2 linked regions of the Saccharomyces cerevisiae S288C genome follow. The gene in region 1 interacts genetically with each later gene. Each region holds a gene or a part of one and is shown on either strand. Other genes may lie near its edges.

Region 1 (8,428 bases):
TCTCATAATTGGTCAGAAGAAAGGAAATCTAGGCAATTGAGTTCTTTGGGTAAAAAAGAGTCACAATTTTTAAGGCTGCGTAGAACGAGATTATCGTTAGAAGATTTCCACACTGTGAAAGTCATTGGAAAAGGGGCATTTGGTGAAGTCAGACTGGTTCAGAAGAAAGACACCGGAAAAATATATGCAATGAAAACTTTATTAAAATCCGAAATGTACAAAAAGGACCAATTAGCACACGTCAAGGCTGAAAGGGATGTTCTGGCTGGAAGTGATTCTCCATGGGTGGTTTCGCTATATTACTCATTCCAAGATGCTCAATACTTATATTTAATCATGGAATTTTTGCCCGGTGGTGATTTGATGACCATGCTAATCAGGTGGCAACTATTTACAGAGGATGTTACTAGATTTTACATGGCTGAGTGTATTTTGGCCATCGAAACCATTCATAAATTAGGATTCATTCACAGAGATATTAAACCAGATAATATTTTGATCGATATTAGAGGTCATATAAAATTATCTGATTTCGGGTTGTCTACGGGGTTCCATAAAACTCACGACTCAAACTACTATAAAAAGCTTTTGCAACAAGATGAGGCAACTAATGGTATTTCCAAGCCAGGTACTTACAATGCAAATACAACCGATACTGCAAATAAAAGGCAAACAATGGTTGTGGATTCTATTAGTCTAACAATGTCAAACAGGCAACAAATTCAGACATGGAGAAAATCACGTCGTTTAATGGCATATTCTACCGTAGGTACACCAGATTATATTGCTCCTGAGATATTTTTATACCAAGGTTATGGGCAAGAGTGTGATTGGTGGTCACTTGGAGCAATTATGTACGAGTGTCTGATTGGTTGGCCTCCATTCTGTTCCGAAACTCCACAGGAAACGTACAGAAAAATCATGAATTTTGAGCAAACTCTACAATTTCCTGATGATATTCATATCTCTTATGAAGCCGAAGATCTAATCCGTCGACTATTAACTCATGCAGACCAAAGACTTGGTAGACATGGTGGTGCAGATGAAATAAAAAGTCATCCATTTTTTCGCGGTGTTGATTGGAATACAATCAGACAAGTAGAAGCACCGTATATACCAAAGTTGAGCTCCATCACCGATACTAGGTTCTTCCCAACCGATGAGTTGGAGAATGTTCCAGATTCCCCAGCTATGGCACAAGCTGCCAAACAAAGGGAACAGATGACAAAGCAAGGTGGAAGTGCGCCAGTCAAGGAAGATTTACCTTTTATTGGCTACACTTACTCCAGATTTGACTATTTGACAAGAAAAAATGCGTTGTAGGGACGCGTTAAGGACATTCCTCTTTATTCAAGTATTTATCTATGGATGTAGAACGCACATTATGAATAAATAACTGCACTTTTTTCGGGAAAAAAATTACCAAAATAGACATCAGCTTTATCATATGTCTCCTTGAAGTATTTGAACGACCACCTTTCCGAAGACAATGTACCTAGTAACCTACAGGCTGCCCTTAATCCATACATCCACGCACAATAGCACAATCTCGGTGATGGCTGGTTTTTTTACCTTGAAAAACAAGAAAAATGGCTGATGTAGTTGAAAAAGGTAAAAGAGATGGCAGATCAGGGGACGATTTTGTAGAGGAAGTATCTATATATATCGACCATATTGAAAAAAATATGAAATAACATACACACGTGTAAGAATATATAATTTTTGTTATTAACACGTCGTAAAAGAGAAAAGATCGTGCTTTCATCACGCGCTTCCTCTCGGCCTTTCGAACTATAAATTATAAGATGATCCAGTCTTACAATACTGAATGAAACTCAGGGAAGACGATAGCGGAGGTTCGACAACCGATCACTGTAAAACCTACACTTTCAAGTTCATTAATCGTCGCTTGAAAGATCGTCATAACCAAATATTGCTAGAAACAAAAGCGTTCGGGATAGGTCAAACCATGATGAACTAGTTCCACACGCATATCTTAAAGCGTGCTATTTTTTAAAAAGGGCAAATTTAGGAATGTCTGACGGAATCCCTAATCATCTTTGGCTTTTCCCTTCACTCCCTTCTTTTACCGACGATGGTTTGAAGGAAAGAGAAAAATGAGCAATAGGAAAATTCAGTAGTCGATTTCCATTTCAATTCCCTATTGGGTAATGTGGCGGCGAGGGCTAAACATTCGGTATCATTGATTCAATGTTCTCACAATGTTCAAATTCTCGGATCGGGTATCCCTAATTGGGATCTCTTTCCAGAGGAAGGGGCCTTGATGTGGGATTGAAGACACATGAGTTTTTTTCTCACCGTCGAAACTTTTGCTTACCCGTAAAACATCGGCCATTCGTTGGTTTATTATGTGACTTTTTTGTGACTTTTTTTTTTGCGAAGTTTTCTCGTCATCCGCGGAAGATCCGGCGGGCGAAAAAGTCTCTCACTTTTACCCAATCGGGGCATGTTATGTGGACATGTTATGTGTCCAAGAGACACATGAGCCCAAAAAGGGTACACTGTCTAAATAGTTTACCCTTTACGAATCGAAACTTCTCGAAGAAGGGGCCGAAAATTAGCGCAGAAGTTGACGAAAGTTTATACTTTTCCTAATGGAGAGGCTCAGGAGCTGAAAAGGGATATATTCGTACTCTATTGCATCTTCAAACTCCGAAGAATCTCAGTAGGGAGTGAAGCCGGCTTCTCGATGCTACAGTTCAACATCGATACTTTGAAGAAAGAAAGCGCCTATTATATCTCTTTTACCCTATTAGTAATAATTAGGAAAAAGGGAGAAAAAAGTACCTCACTAAAAAAACCATCATCTCTGAAATATAAAAAGCTTGATAGAGGGTGACATTTGCTAGAACTTCTGCTGTGTTCTCTTGGGTTATTGCTCTTATTGAATATCCCTTCTATTTCTTTCTTGCTTGTAAAAAATCAGCTCAAAAAACATCTACAGGATTAATCGTCAGTTAAGTAATACAGTAATAGAAAATGAAGTTCCAAGTTGTTTTATCTGCCCTTTTGGCATGTTCATCTGCCGTCGTCGCAAGCCCAATCGAAAACCTATTCAAATACAGGGCTGTTAAGGCATCTCACAGTAAGAATATCAACTCCACTTTGCCGGCCTGGAATGGGTCTAACTCTAGCAATGTTACCTACGCTAATGGAACAAACAGTACTACCAATACTACTACTGCCGAAAGCAGTCAATTACAAATCATTGTAACAGGTGGTCAAGTACCAATCACCAACAGTTCTTTGACCCACACAAACTACACCAGATTATTCAACAGTTCTTCTGCTTTGAACATTACCGAATTGTACAATGTTGCCCGTGTTGTTAACGAAACGATCCAAGATAAGTCATCCGCCGGTGCCGTTGTTGTTGCCAACGCCAAATCTTTGGAAGCTGTCTCATTCTTCTTCTCTATCATTTTTGACACCGAAAAGCCTATTGTTGTCACTGAAGATTCCGCTTATGCCATTCCAGTCGCTAACAATAAGAACGCTACCAAACGTGGTGTCTTGTCCGTCACTTCTGACAAATTAGTGTACTCCGGTGTCTTCACTCCACCTACTGCTTGTTCTTACGGTGCTGGTTTGCCTGTTGCTATCGTTGATGACCAAGACGAAGTTAAATGGTTCTTCGATGCTTCTAAGCCAACTTTAATCTCTTCTGACTCGATTATCAGAAAGGAATACAGTAACTTCACTACTCCTTATGGTCTATTAGAAAACGGTGTTCCAATTGTTCCAATTGTCTATGACGGTGGTTACTCTTCCAGTTTGATTGACTCCTTGAGTTCTGCCGTTCAAGGTTTGGTTGTTGTTTCTTCTGGTTCTACCAACTCAACCTCATCTACTATTGAAAGCACTGAAATCCCAGTCGTATATGCTCAAGCTAACACTCCATTAAACTTTATTGACAACAAAGATGTTCCAAAGAACGCTGTGGGTGCTGGTTACCTATCCCCAATTAAGGCCCAAATCTTGTTGTCCATTGCTGCCGTTAATGGTGTCACCTCCAAGTCCGCTCTGGAAAGCATTTTCCCATGAACTGATAGATATTAAATCTAGCGAAGCATAGAGATTCTTTTTTTACCAGTCATCATAACCATTATTTTACAAAATTTCCACGCAACAGCTTTTATTTTCGTTCGTAATAGGAACCATACTTCCCATTAAAGCAGTATGATTGTTTTATACACCTTTTTATTGTTATTTAAGACATACCCCAAATAATTAATTAATTAATTGATGAAAGAATCATATAAATTCTTGGCCATACATATTTTTTTATTATCTTTTGCTACATTGACCATAGGTGAATATCTTCCCGGGGTGACACTCCACTGAAGTGGGAAAAAAAGAAAAGTTTTAAAACATTGCTCACCTTAAGTCTCGAAGGTCTAGCATTCACTACCTGTAAGTGTCAAGACCCCACATGTATACATGGATACAATAAAGAAACAATGTCCGTATAATTTGTATACATTTTACTACAGATAAGGGATCTCACCCCCTTCTTTTGTGTCTAAGTGAAATCTTCTGATATATTTAGTGTTTTATAGCGTCCATGTTTTAAACTAGAACGGCAAAATAGTAGTTGTTGTAAACGCTTATTTTCGAGACATCAGGTAAAAAGGATAGTTAAATCTTACAATCAATGCATGTAGTGAGTGGCGTTTATCAATAGTTTTTAACAATTCCCATTTTGAAAGAAGCCCACAACAACCCTAGTAGTTCGTTAATATACGTTATGATGGTCAAGTGTCACAGTACGGAAAGCTTGCAAACAGCTCTTACATAGAGGAGTTGCTTCAAAATAAACGTCCTCTGGTGTCAAGTGTCTCATACAGCGACCACATGCGAAAGAAACTACTACAGATAAGCAAATACACAAATTATAATCGTGGATTCATCATCAGAATACGCCTGGCCCTGTAATCCTTTGGCTCACCAACATTCGATGGACACCTTTATATCTTCTAATAACAGTGAATAATAGACACAATACGAAGAAAAACCCAGCGGTAACCATGTAAACGGTACCACTTACGCCATAAGCTAAATAGATCAGAATGGTAGAGACTTTGACAAATAGCTCGAAAGCTTTAGCGAACATTAGTCTTATCCAATTTAAGTTGGGTTCATTGCCATCTCTACTTTTCATAATATGTTTTATCACAGGTGAAGAGTAAAATACAATGATGTTATGAAACTTTCCAAGCAACCCTAATTTACCAGTATCCTTATATGCTATTAATGTCGTGCCACCAGAACCAAATATCTTGGCAAATTTCCAGTATCCCACGATTTCGATTATAAAATCATTCTCTGAAAAGGTCATTGAATTGAACCCGCTCCTTAATATGTTGTATACGGAAAATGGGAATAAAATTAGCCCAATAAAGTAATCTAAAATGAATAAATTTCTAAGAAAAGTTCTGAGAGGGCTCTGCTGCCTTGCTGTGAATGGGGAATCGGCCGTATTGGCGTTGGTGGCTCTTATAGTGTCTGCATTGATTCCTCCATTTCCGTTTGTGGTTGCATCCATATTAGCTGCTCTATTTATATTTGAAGTAGAACTCATATTCCTCCTAAGGGAGTTAAATATTCCATCGATTGCTTGCTGTACATCCTGCTGTAGTTCTTGCTGAGATTGCTCGGTTACAGGTGAAGGCTCTCTACTATGCCTCGTTTCCGATTCTTCTAGAAATCGCTGAAACAGATAATCATCATTATCGTCTCTTTCTGTCCAATTACTGCGGCGATGATTTTGAGGCCTCGCCATTTTTTCTCACTAAATGCTTGTGAGGATGTATGCGTTTGATTCGGTGTCTCTTTAATCATATTCCCGAATCGACCCTATTTGAAGGTAGAGGGAGTTGTTTCCTCTCACTATTGTTATAAAAGATCATCAATGACGGAAACTAATATGCAATGAAAAAATGAGAAGTTTACATGAATATGAAGATTAACTGCACAGCAATGTTGTTGACCCTTGGTATTCGCACACACTAAGCCAACATAGGTTCGTTCAATTTTTAAAAAGAAGATGGTCCGGCCTCAGAATGTTCACTGGTTTATCGCTACAATTGTATTTTTCATCGGATTTGTACACGCTAATACAGAATCAATCTTATATAAGGTTCCTCACAACTTTCCCCTCAAAAAACCAAGAGACAGCTCTACTTATGCAAGAGATGTAAACTTGATATCTTCCATATCACTATCGGGAGAAGCAATGAGTCAGATCACTATCGAGGCCAATACCACTGACTTGGAGTTGCATAATACTACGTATATTGAACTGGCGGACTTACAGCGAGACGAAACATATCAGATTAAAGTGTGTTGGTCAGCAATACATCCAATTTCCATTAATAATCTCCAAACTATCACAATACCACGTTTCACTGAATTTCAGGGAACTAAGTCAGACTACGCGAGAATACTAGTGACTTTCCAGGTCTTGTCTGACTCGTATCCTAGTGAGCATGCCATGGTTCCAATACAAGTCTCATTAATCACCACTCGGCTAGGTATCCCCGTGGATATTTACCCAACATTAATCGTTATGGTGCTATTAGTAGCAGGGCTTGTTGTTACCCGGGCACCACACGTATTGAACGATCTTTTGCTGAAATTTTAGTATGGAAGCCTGAGCCCCCTTTGGCTGGATAGCTTGGCCTCATCACAACTAGAACGTAAAAAAGTCCATTAACCATCAAATGCTTCTCATTAAAGTGGGTATTTTTATCGAAAGAAAGGGACCTGAATATCTAACTCGCCGCTATGTCGAATGAAAACTTATCTCCCAATAGTAGTAACCCAGATTTAACTAAACTGAATAACGGCGAAAGCGGAACTATTGATACCAGCAAATTCTCGCCCAACGAAATGAAGCTATACAAAATGTACGGAAAGCTGCCATCAAAGAAAGATATTTTTAAGCATACCATGCAGAAAAGAAAATATTTCGACAGTGGTGATTACGCTTTGCAGAAAGCTGGCATTCAAAACAATGATCCAATAAACTATGGAAAGAATAACCTGCCATTAACAAATCCCAGCAAACTACGAGAAGATATAATAAAAAGAAGGATAAGCACTTGTCCGTCAACTGCCTCAACCGCTGGTGTAGTAGATAATGCGACGTTGATACAAAAGGAGGGAAGTATATCGAGTGGACCACCATCGTCTAATAACGGTACTATTGGAGGTGGTAGTACAAGTTCAACGCCAGTGGGGAACCACAGCTCTTCGTCGTCCAGTTTGTATACTGAATCACCCATTAGATAAATAGACAACCTGTACTTTTTTATATTTTTTTAGGGAAAGAGAAGGGTCTCTTATATTTAACGCTTATTATGTGATTTCTCGAAATGTCAAGTGTTACAGCCATATGGCTGACTGTGTTTACGTTAATTAGTTATATATAAACGATAAGCCATTCTGATGTTATCTTCTTGTACTTCTAATTAATAATATTTACTCGTCAGAATTTCGACTTTAATGAGAATATAGATATCTTCCTAGTTTTCCAAACATTAGAGAACCAAGGAAATAAAAATCCATGAAATATAAAAATTGGGAACCGTCGATAATATCTTTGTAGCAAGAGATACAACAACCCACCCCAATGCAGATGCAGCTCATTAACATGGATATTGAGCCGTCAAAAAACAACCACAGTATAATATTCAGAAGCCCCCATGCCCCTGCCGCCTGCAAAGAGGAGTTCCACTGTATTTTCCTGATCCCAAATGTGACTCCCAACATGGCATTGATACTTCTAATAACAGAGGTCAAACTGTCATGGTGGACAGAGCTCTTAACAACCTCTGTTTGAAAAATATTATCCAGAATTGGTACAACAGAACCAAATAACAGTCCTTCAACACCGTAGCCTAACCAGTTTGGCAGAACCCCATTGGATAGCCAGTTACAAAGTTTGACACCCAGTAGAAGGGGTCTCGATGCAAAATCTGGATGTAAGAGATGATTATCGTGCAAGTTTCTGGACAGTTCATGATATGCGAAACCGCTCAATGACAAAATTAATACAGCTTGCAGGTAATGAAGAATATTTTGACGAGTTTGTCTGGTTCTTGACGGAAAGTTTTCGTGAATGGATGATGCTGATAAAATCCTTTCCAAATTATTAGAAGATACTGTGTTCCTTGGCAGCGAGCCGCCAACCTTATGGGCCAAGTAAAAAGTCGAATCAATAGTTTGATCTCTACTATATTTGGTAGAATCTATAGAGACAGAGCGTTTCAATTCTTCGTAAATTTCGTTATCTTCCGATCTCACGACGTCATCATCATATAATGAATAAAGCTGCGGTTTAGTCAGAGAGCAGATTGATTCGGTGCTCTTCTTTGGATCCGGTTCTCCTCTATTGGCCATTCTG
Region 2 (3,609 bases), on another chromosome or scaffold:
TATCTAGATTAATGACACCAGAGCTGATATATGATTTCAGGTCTCTCTTTAGTGGTGAACTACCAGCTGGGATAGGGGTATAATGACCACTTCTGACTAATAACTTATCAAAATTCTTCAAAAGTAATGGCCATTCACTAGTGTCAGTGGAAGCACCTGCAGCTTCAGGCTTAATAACGAAATCCTCCTTTGACATTGTGTATATCGGTCCTCTGTGTAGGTTGTAACGAACTCCAGATGATAATGAATCTTTAAAAAAAAAAACCAATAAAAAATGTTCTGAAAACTATCTTTACATTATATTTTTCCTAAGCTAAACATCTCATCATTTGAAAATTTTTCAAATTTTTTCAGCATTTTCTTTTTGCGAAGAGGGAAAAGAAGAAAGAAAAATTTTCAGTGAGAACAGAAGATCATATGTTACGAGTAGAAAATACTAAAAGTTTTTCGATAAAAAGGGAATATATAATATAAATAAATCAATCTGTCATTGAGTAAGTTTACAATGCAGCTGCCTCGAACTCTTTTTTCAATCTAGATTCCACCGCGTCAATGAACTCCTCGGTAGTGACATAAGCGGATCTTTCAGACTTACCGAGAATGAGCGCCAAATCTTTAGTCATGATTCCATCTTCTTGCACTGTATTTACCGTAGCGCTTTCCAATATTTGGCCGAACTTAACTACATCTGGAGTATTATCAAGTTTACCCCTTTGAATAATACCTCTAGTCCACGCGAAAATTGATGCAATGGAATTTGTTGACGTCTCCTTTCCTTGCTGATGCTGTCTAAAATGTCTTGTTACTGTACCGTGGGCGGCTTCGCTTTCAAAGGTTTTACCGTCCGGGGTAATCAACACAGATGTCATTAACCCCAAGGAGCCAAATCCTTGTGCAACAATATCTGATTCTACGTCACCGTCGTAATTTTTCATGGCAATTATGTATCCACCTTTAGATTTCAACATTTGGGCCACCATATCATCAATTAAACGGTGCTCGTACCAGATGCCAAGGGATTCAAACTTCTCTTTATAACTTCTAGCATACATGGCTTCGAAAACATCTTTGAATTTACCATCATACTTCTTCAAAATAGTATTCTTAGTAGTGGAATATAATGGTAACTTCCTTTCAATGGCCAATTCAAAGGAGGCCTTCGCAAACCCTTCGATCGAATCTGTAGTGTTGTACATCATCATGGCAACCCCACCATGTTCTGGGTAGTCAAATACCTTCAGATCTACATCATGAGTTCCGCTCTTGGATTTATAAACAAGCCTCAACTCGCCTTCTTCAGGGACTATTACATCGGTAGCTTTGTACTGATCGCCGAATGCGTGTCTCCCAATGATGATGGGCTTCTCCCATTGAGGAACTAGCCTTGGAATTCTAGGGATAATAATAGGTTCTCTGAACACTGTACCACCCAAAATGTTTCTAATAGTACCATTTGGAGATTTCCACATCTTTTTCAAATGAAATTCCTCGACCCTTGCCTCATCGGGTGTAATAGTCGCGCATTTGACAGCTACTCCATACTTTAAAGTCGCGGTGGCAGAATCCACAGTTACTTGATCATTAGTCTGGTCACGATACTCCACGGAAAGATCGTAGTACTTCAAATCAACGTCAAGATAGGGCAAGACTAACTTGTCCCTGATTAAATGCCAGATTATTCTTGTTTGCTCATCGCCGTCCATTTCCACAATGGGGTTAGCTACCTTAATCTTTGTCATTACGATTTTATATATATACGTACGTTACCTTCTTACCTCCTATTCTCGTGCCTGAGCAGCGACTGTAGTCGACAAGTCAAGAGTGTAGTAACATACAATTGCAGGCTGTCATTTATATATCATGCCGGAGACTAGTTTGCCTATAGCCAATTCCAACCGAACCAATAATGTTAAGTCCGGTTTTTGATATTATACTCCACCCCCACTATTCCTAGCCCTGAAAGGTATCAAAGAGAACACTGATGATTTGACTACTGCATATTCTTCCCTTATTTCCTTATTTGCCGATTTTCGGACCACCGGCAATGACATCCCGGAGTTATAAAAATAAATAGATAGACGTTCACGTGACCAAAGTGTCACCCTCTCCGGCTAACCCGGTGAGAACCCACGGGCCCAATGCCGTCGTAAGTGACGCATCTATCGTCGCATTAAAGTGAATAACTGTAAAACCCTGGAATAGTATTTCGTTCAGGGTTCGTGTTAGTTCCAAGCTATTGACGACTTCCATGTCGTCATTTTCTAGATCAAATTGAAGCTTCATCTGCGTATTTCCTGTGTCCTCATCGTGCAGAATGTGCGATGAAGAGTTGATCCATTGCTTCATGGGTAAGTTTAAGAAATTGATGTCGTTATGGTACAGATCGATCTGTCCCCGAATGGTATCGATGCGAACTCGGTCTTGCTGGTGCGTCTCGTAGAAGGATAGATCAAAGAATCCTAAAAATGTCCCCACAAGACTGAGCTTTTTGCGCGCTGCCCACCGTAGCTGAAGATCGTTGATCTGAAACTCTTGAATCAATTCACTGGAGTTAAACGTAGCATTGGTAGTAATGGGAATAAACGATGCTTCTTGGAAAATATCCTCCAGCATGTCTGCTGGAATCAATGAGTTATTATCTATACCATCTTCAAGGACATGGCCTCTTGCTGCGAACGTAACAGTCTCGTTCTGGTTCAGGACCGCATTCACTATTTGGCTCATTGGTGTAAGACTATTTTGAGGACATTCTTGGTATAGTAGTTCATCGGGCAGAGGACCTTCAATTTCATTTTGTAAACAGACGACGATATTATCCTTGTCGTGGTGCAGATTAATCGGTTCGTTAAAGCAAGACAAGGTTGGAATTGCGATAGCAGGCTCACCGTTACAGTCCGGTAGCTTGATTTCCCAATTGATGAAAGGGATTGACGTGCCTGGCGGAAGGTGAAGCCAGTCCACCCCTCCAAGAATCGTGATCGGATTCAGTCTCATATCGGCATGAAATCCATCAGAACTGGAGTCCCGCAATGTAAATCCTTGAAGAGATATTCCATCGATCATATTTTGAATCATCCGAAGGGGCGTTGCCGATATTTTTTCCCAATCAATAATATCTTTCCAATCTAAGATTTCGTCATTAAGTTTCAATAAATTAAACCTCGTGCCAAATTTTCTCTTGAAGATAGTCATATCTAAATTCGATTTTATATTTAAGGATTCAAAATCCCTATTCCAAAATTTTTTCAAAACTTTTACGATTTTCCAAATAGACGGTTTAACTAAAATTTTGAACTGTAGGTTATTAATCTGTCGGTGAGCCAAATTAAAACAAATGGGTTCCATGCCAACAACATCTCCCAGTTTATTCTTGAACACTAGATCTCCATCGAATGTGGTCACGTTATTCAGATCTATACAAATGGTTTTAAGAACTTTTTCATTGATGTACCGTATCCAGTCACGTTGGCTTCTGGCGTCCGAGTCATTTTCCGTTCCTGGCCATTTGTCATAATCGAACCAAATTTGAGAGTGTATAGACACCTGCAAATACTTACCTGTATCATTGTTCAGGTCAGAGCCCATATTATCTTTCCAACCATCAAGCTG

The links. A genetic interaction does not mean that the proteins touch.
Region 2: mutations in ASI2 (region 1) and IDP2 together harm fitness more than expected from each alone (negative genetic interaction), as found in Saccharomyces cerevisiae (one large-scale study listed by BioGRID).

The regions. Positions count from the first base shown.
Region 1 is NC_001146.8:333,545-341,972, forward strand, and holds ASI2 (Asi2p), read right to left. Parts: upstream 5,804-8,428; coding exon 4,934-5,803; downstream 1-4,933. Other genes in the region: serine/threonine protein kinase CBK1, read left to right, coding at 1-1,323; YGP1 (Ygp1p), read left to right, coding at 3,001-4,065; PGA1 (Pga1p), read left to right, coding at 6,068-6,664; IGO1 (phosphatase regulator), read left to right, coding at 6,808-7,314; NSG2 (Nsg2p), read right to left, coding at 7,525-8,424; YNL155C-A (uncharacterized protein), read right to left, coding at 8,367-8,428.
Region 2 is NC_001144.5:502,721-506,329, reverse strand, and holds IDP2 (isocitrate dehydrogenase (NADP(+)) IDP2), read right to left. Parts: upstream 1,740-3,609; coding exon 501-1,739; downstream 1-500. Other genes in the region: pseudouridine synthase CBF5, read right to left, coding at 1-196; TAG1 (Tag1p), read right to left, coding at 2,083-3,609. UniProt on the Saccharomyces cerevisiae protein: May function in the production of NADPH for fatty acid and sterol synthesis.